Tribolium castaneum: one gene and its partner. The protein of the gene in region 2 purifies or fractionates together with the protein of the main gene of each other region. This does not show direct contact. Links are inferred from orthologs where the notes say so. Each region holds a gene or a part of one and is shown on either strand. Other genes may lie near its edges.

What was found. Proteins that work in one complex are often made in the same cells at the same time.
Region 1: the proteins of integrin alpha-PS1 (region 2) and CD151 antigen purify together in Homo sapiens (co-immunoprecipitation; 3 studies listed by BioGRID and IntAct, with this or other methods). This does not show direct contact. The link is inferred for Tribolium castaneum from reciprocal best matches to the Homo sapiens genes ITGA6 and CD151.

Annotation. Positions count from the first base shown.
Region 1 is NC_087402.1:7,271,002-7,274,755, reverse strand, and holds the start of CD151 antigen, read right to left. Parts: upstream 2,678-3,754; 5' UTR 2,524-2,677; intron 1-2,523. Other genes in the region: wupA (tropomyosin-1, isoforms 33/34), read right to left, coding at 2,923-2,933, 2,989-3,315, 3,411-3,674, 3,733-3,754. UniProt on the Homo sapiens protein: Structural component of specialized membrane microdomains known as tetraspanin-enriched microdomains (TERMs), which act as platforms for receptor clustering and signaling.
Region 2 is NC_087399.1:982,014-985,667, forward strand, and holds part of integrin alpha-PS1, read right to left. Parts: intron 3,054-3,654; coding exon 2,783-3,053; intron 2,618-2,782; coding exon 1,670-2,617; intron 824-1,669; coding exon 598-823; intron 542-597; coding exon 382-541; intron 328-381; coding exon 167-327; intron 111-166; coding exon 1-110. UniProt on the Homo sapiens protein: Integrin alpha-6/beta-1 (ITGA6:ITGB1) is a receptor for laminin on platelets. Integrin alpha-6/beta-1 (ITGA6:ITGB1) is present in oocytes and is involved in sperm-egg fusion.

The sequences.
Region 1 (3,754 bases), on a different chromosome or scaffold from region 2:
ACGTATGCTTAAAAATGTCAGTAAATCCGCTATAAAATAAATAAACAAATATTTTGCCAAACACATAATTTCGTACTGGATTTCATATGAAATCAAAATACAGTAGAGTCCTGCTATAACGAACCCGGTTATAACGATCTTCCGGATATAACGAACTAGATTTGATTTGAAATGTGATGCAATTCCCGTTCATAACAAACTTTTAGGTACATTTAACAAATTTTTACATTTTTATTTTTTTTTGTGTCAGGACTTGTTTTCCTGTTGTAGTTTTTGCTAATTTTAAGTCAGTGTAAAAGAATTTGAAGAACTAAGCTCAGAGATCAGACCAAATCTCTCATACATTTCTTCCGAATCTATAACTGTTTCGTAAGGGATTCAAGTTTTTGTTTACAATAGGACGTGTACTTATTTATTTCGTTTTATTTCACATGTAAAGTAAAAATAACTGCTAAAACGACACTTTTTTATTACCGCTTATGGCAAACCTCGGATACAACAAACTGAATTTGATGCATTTTCGGACACCACTGTAGTACTAATAAAAATATGTTCCCAAAAATTTTAAATTTGTAATAATCCCTTCAAGAGTTTACAAAAATTTCTCTTGTCATCAAACCATAGATAAGAGCGTTTTTCAGGTTGATAAGGTCGAGATAAAGAATATACAGTCTGCTTTTTTATTTCTATTGTTTATTGTTATAGGATTATTTCGTCAAATTTCAAAAAAACTTAAAATAAATGGATTTATCATGTACCATGTTTTATTTTCAATTTTCACTCAGTTTTGAGGAGAGAAAAGAAAAAAAATATTAATCACTTCTGATACAATTAATTATAAGTTATACTTACCATGTACTTAAAATTGGCTGTTTAAGTTGGCAACAAAATTTTAAGAGGAATACTGCAACCGGATATTATTTTTATTTGTTCAGCATATACATGTTTCGTAACAAGTTTGCGGCTTATCTTTCTATTTACTTTAACTAAAGGGAAGTACATCTTAAATTCAGTAATGCCAACTCAAACTATCGTTCTTGGTCACTGTTTTTTATTTTCACCAAATTGCCGAACACAACACAAAAAATCTACGATAATTTACTACATACGAAGTGATCCAAAATGACTTTCTGTTGACTTGAAAGTATGTTTGCTAACAGTTTGCAACACTGTACCCAGATAATAAGGCTTTCCTTGGCAAATATTTAACGTAAAATTGTTAACCGGAGGTAAAGTTCGATGGTGCCATCTAAAAAAAATTCAGAATCTCCAACTGAAAATGTCATTCTGGACTTTGTCGCAAGTGCGATTACGTCGTCAAAGATTTTAAAATTTAAATGGCAAGCATCCAAAAAGGACAACTAAAATTAACATAAAAACAATACATGACTTATCATGTTGTATCACTGGAAAACCCGAAATCTCAGTATTAACATCAAATCCTGTTGCAACACTCAAAAAGCGTATTTTTTTTAATAACTAGGTAGGTAATTCGATTTGAATAAACGGACATACCAGTGGTTATACTCTCAGAATTTATAAAACCACGAGGTCGGGTTCTGGTCAAGATTTTTAATGATGTAAGGAAACCTTATTAGGCGTTCTTTGATCCGACTTGCACTCGTTGAAATACGATTTATTTCGCGTGCAGGAAAACATTGAAACCAATTATCATTTTAGCACTTAGCACAATTTTAGCACTAGTAAATTTGGACGTCCAATAGATTTTCAAAGTTGCCAGTCAAGATTACATCCTCTCCACTGGCTTCGCAATACTTCGCATACAGAAATAAAATTATTACAAAATGCAACTCAATACAGGGGATAATTTTAAACCTAGAATCTCGCAATGTTTTTTAAACACGGTTTCGGACGTGAATTATTTAAAAATCTTGTTAGAAGATACATTATCTTGAAAACACATTTTTAATTGTCACGTACGTGTTAAAATTAGAAAACTTGTAATATTTTCTGCTTGTCTGGGAAGTCATAATAGGAAGGAATTTCAAAGCTAAATAAAAATATATATTTACTCAAGGTAGGTGGGTGCTCCACAAATATACCAGAAGAGTGTCATCGTGTAAATAATTATTAGTATTACTTTTTTCTCATTTATATTTTGGGAATAAACCAATTATGTTATTGTGTTAATTGAAATTTGCCAAATTAATTTAACTTTTACAAATGATTAAAAATAATAAAAATGTATGGCGCTACGTCACAATCGACCTTTTATCAACGATAATTTATAACCTTTGATAAATAAAAGTAAGTATGTTCTTGTGACTAAACAGTCTGCGTTACATTTTATTTATTTTTCGTCGACAAATTTTGTTAAAAGGAAGTTTTGAATAAATTTAAATGTGCTATACATCATTTAACCTTGGTGAAATAAAAACCTGGCAAGACAAGCAATAATGCTACCTCAACAAACCAATTCAGAACGTGAATTAAGCATTCGATATTAATCATCTAATTGTTGAATGATTTATTTAAAAAAAAAAGAAAAAATATTTGACTTACTTTTTTTGTGTTTCCAAGACTGTAGAATGTTTACATTGCCACAGTTTTATCCAAATAAGAAATTTATGTTAATTTTTCAACCCACGATGTTTCTTTCAAACCACACAACACAAAATATCTCACTACAGCTTGTCGGTTGCGCACTGACGGAGGAACGGATTAAATTTCTAACATACGCGTGCTCTTGCATCACGTGACTAGTTGATGGGTAGGACGAACCGCAACAATGGGTTTATGACCATGGGAGTGATTTTCGGATACACTTCCGTCAATAAAACAAATGGACAAAGTCTAAAAAATAATATATTTCTCAAAAACTACAATAAAATAAATCAAACAGTTCAATAATAAAACAAAGTGGAACAATAGCAGCGTGGCGGCACAGATATGGCTTCATTTTTAAGCGGCAGCTGAAAATATGATAACGGATTACACTATCAGATAACGTGAATTTTCGATTTTTACCTTCAATGATAGGAGTAGCTGATGCTTCAACTGGCGGCACCTCAGTTTCAGTTTCAGCGGCAGGTTCAGCAGGGGCAGTTTCAGCAGGAGCGGCTTCAGCAGCCGGCGCAGCTTCAGCTGGTGGTGCTTCAGCAGGAGGTGTTTCCGCCGGCACTGCTGGTGTTTCCGCTGTTGCAGCTGCAGGGGGCGCTTCCGCTGGAGCTCCCTCAACAGGAGCGGCCGGAGCTTCCGCAGCAGGAGCGGCTGGAGCCTCTCCGGCAGGAACGGCAGGAGCCTCTCCAGCAGGAGCTGCTGGTGTTTCGCCTTCTGTCGCCGGAGCTGCTGCAGCTTTAGAAAATGTAAATAGTAACAGGAATTGGCAGTTTTTTAAATGAGAGACGATGGTGGTGTGCTTGATGATGGCGTGATCATGAAGCACTTACCACTCTGTTTCAGTTTGTCCAAAAGTTGATCGAAATTCAACTGAGGCTCTTCCGGATTATCGGCTGTCAAATCAACAACTTTATATTTAAGCGAATTTTTTATGTACAAAACCACGCCGTCGCCACTATTCTTACGGTTCTCTACTAAAGAATAATTGGGGATAGAAACTACTTCTTTGTTTTCAGTGGGGGCTAGGACTGTTTCGGGTAAAGCAATAATATCGTAATTTTCGTGTATTACAAGTTGTTTAAATGTCTCGAATCCTGAAATGAGCAGCAACATCATTGTTGTAAGGTGACCTGGGTCACCTTAGATACTCACCGCCGGTGGGCTCTTCCGGTTT
Region 2 (3,654 bases):
TTTGCGATTTCGAAACGTAGGGGCAGAGAGACGGATTGGTTTTCTTGGAAAGGGTTCCCCAGGTTGCAGATGACCACAGTTGTGCCATTTGAAGTGCAAATTGTGTTGCCCTAAATATTTTTTTAATAATAATAATAATAATAATGAATTAAACACTTAAACACACCGATTTATTTTGGCTTTGGAGCGCCACGTAGCTCAGACTTTCCGGATGTATTACGAAAAGTCGCGCTTCGTAGGCCGATTCGCCCTCATTTGCGACATTGGCCTCCAAAATGAGTTCCTTCTCCACCCCCAGATTGAACAAATAGTGACCCTCGGGTGTTTCTGTTTGAAAAAAAAACAATTTTTCTTTCACACAATTGAGTGAATAAAACCAACCGTTAAGTGCCAATGGACGTGCATTTAGAATCAATTTGCTCCTGCAAATGTCATCCGGGCCGCAGTTTTTCTGGAACGTGGCTTCGAAAGTCTTGATTGAAGTTTTATTCAAAATTGGTGAATCCACATCGTCTTTATAAATCGTGTAGTTTACTTGGAACTAAAAATATTTTCCTGTTTACATTTTCAAGTCTTGCGGGACGATTTATTTATTACCGAAATGGGCGAGAGAATATCGCCGTTTCCTTCAATAAGATAGGCCGTTTCGCTGGTGCAATATTCACGTGAGATATCCGTAACTGTGATCATTTTTGTGACAAATGTGTCGTTGCCGATTGTTACACGTGGTGCTTTCTTCGGCAATTCCTTGATTTCGTAGCGAATGTCGATGTCCTTAGTTAGGCGAAATTTGCGGAATTTGAAACAAGTCTTGAACGAAAAACTGAAAAATCGTGTTAGAAAAACAGCTCAACAGTTATTCTAGTTCAAAATTTCTTTGCTTTGGAACAAGTAAACGTGCTTAACACAGAGGGAAAATGTCATATTCTGACTTAAAAGAAAAATTTGTGTTAATGTTGGGTTGAAAACGCCATATTTTAGACGATTCTTTGCTTAGAAATGAGAAAACTTTAATAAAACACACTGAAAACGCCTTATTTTGGCTCAAAAGGACAAACTATATGTTATAGTTTGGGTGAAAACGGCTTATTTCGAACAATTCTTTGCTTAGAAATGAGAAAACTTTAATAAAACACACTGAAAACGCCTTATTTTGGCTCAAAAGGACAAACTATATGTTATAGTTTGGGTGAAAACGGCTTATTTCGAACAATTCTTTGCTTAGAAATGAGAAAACTTTAATAAAACACACTGAAAACGCCTTATTTTGGCTCAAAAGGACAAACTATATGTTATAGTTTGGGTGAAAACGGCTTATTTCGAACAATTCTTTGCTTCGAAATGAGAAAACTTTAATAAAACACACTGAAAACGCCTTATTTTGCCTCAAAAGGACAAACTATGTGTTATAGTTTGGGTGAAAACGGCTTATTTCGAACAATTCTTTGCTTAGAAATGAGAAAACTTTAATAAAACACACTGAAAACGCCTTATTTTGCCTCAAAAGGACAAACTATATGTTATAGTTTGGGTGAAAACGGCTTATCTCAGACGATTTTTTGCTTAGAAACGAGTAAACTTTCATAAAACAAACTTCATTCATTTTCGAGAAATATTCTTTGTGTTTTTTTGCCACAATAATTACTGAAAAAAAATTCTTTAAACTTACCAAGTTTTGTCGCTGTGCGGATCCTCCCGACATCCCTTCTTGGACGCATTAATATTCCTCAACTCATCCCCCACCACCCTAATCCCAATATCAATAATGGGCCTAGTTTTGAACAAAATAACCCGTTCGGAGTCATACAGCCCCACTAACAAATCGGGATAATCATTCAAGTCCATATCCATGCCACCACTCAACGAATAGCCCACAGTTTTAAGTCCTTCCCTTTCCCCAAACTTGATAATTTGCGAGGGTTCGCTTCTCAGCCCCCCTTTCTGGCCCAGATAAATGTAAACAGCCCCGGTATTGTCCTCATACGGGGCCCCAATTGCCACGTCAATAAAACCGTCCTTATTTATATCGCCAAGTGCAGTCATCGAAAAACCGAACCTTGACTCAGCTTTGCCTGTGAAAATCTGACTGGGGGCGCACTTATCTCTCGTACAGTTGCGCAAATTGTTGTAAATGTAGACGGCGCCCCCGTGGTCTTTGTCGTAGTAAAAGGGGGCTGCCACGAGCAGTTCATCGTAGCCGTCTTGTTCAAAATCCACGGCCAAAATTTCGTAACCGAAGCTGGACCCGAACTGCGTCCCGTTGATTATCAGGCGAATGTTGAGCTGTTCCTCTGATTTGGTTTTATTGAAGAAAAAGACTTGTCCGCTTAGGTTGGAGCGTGAGGCTCCCGAGACGTAAGTTAGGGTTTTTTTCGAGAAAAAGTGGCCCCCGGTTACGCTCATTCCGAGGTAGCTGTACTTGGCTATGGGGGTGTCTTGGTCGTTTAGGGGGCCTCTGTAGACGGTCTTGTCCCGTTCGAGGAAACTACCGACTACATTTTTGGCAAAAATTGTCCCGCGCCAAGTGTAAGGCCCGGGGGATCCCATTAACACGAAGTCGTCGGAGAGGAAGGCGAGACTTGTGCCCACTTGGCAATAACCGTACTGTTGATGCAATCTAGAGAGGGAAATAATTTTTTTAACACACAACAGTCAGGGGGCAGTTTTTATGTCCAAAGCACATTATTTTTGCAAGTTCTGAGGACATTTTTAGACCAAAAATTTACTCAAAAAAAACTCAATTATTGCGCAAAATTTCTTAAAAAGCAGAAAAATTAGTTACTTTTCTACGGGCCGGCCTTTGCACGGCTCCAGGGCGTCCTCCACGTTCAGCTCGTTGTTCAGCAGGTAGCAGAGCCCGTATCCATAGTGGTGTGAAGTCAAGTTCGGGCTCTGGATGTACCTGTGTGCACAAACCACCACTTTTCCGCCCGGTTTTTGCGACTTGACTGTTACTCCCAGCCACTGATTATCCTTGATTTCGTCGTTTGACGGTGGCGAAAGCACTGCTTCGTTTCTCGTTGACGGTGTGTCCTCATAGTCGAAAACATTGACTAAAAAAAATCAATCAGTCCGTGTTTCTCCTTTCGTAGTTATAGTGTTAGTAAGATGCACAAAATCTGAACAACGGTTTCAAAATGGTTTGAAACTTGGAGTTAGTAAAAAAAATCATATCAAACGTGTACTACAGGCCGAGGCCCTTTTGCTGTACAATGCTGCTATTTACATGTATTTTTTTGTATAAAAATGAAGCTGAGGATGATGCGAAAACACACACTTCAAATTATTGTCATCGAAAAACGCTCAAGTACCACAAAAATAGGTGGTCTCTCGGGGTTATTACATTAATGTTGTGTTATTCATTAATTTCAAATAAGCCGAAGAACCCAAAGGACTACAGCATTAAATATTCGCGACTTTTCTCAAATCATGTTTCACGTCGTTTTTGACACAACAGCACAATTATTATTTTTTATTTTAATTTTTCTATGCCTTTTCAACCCTTTCCAGTTCTGAAAAGTGCAAGAAAATCAATTGCTTCGATTTTTTTATGTTTGATTTTTGCAATTTTTGTCGCGATTTTGGTCGATTTCCGGGTGTCCGGATCATTTATCGAGCAATAACTCCGGAACTATTAGAGATAACCCTATGAAG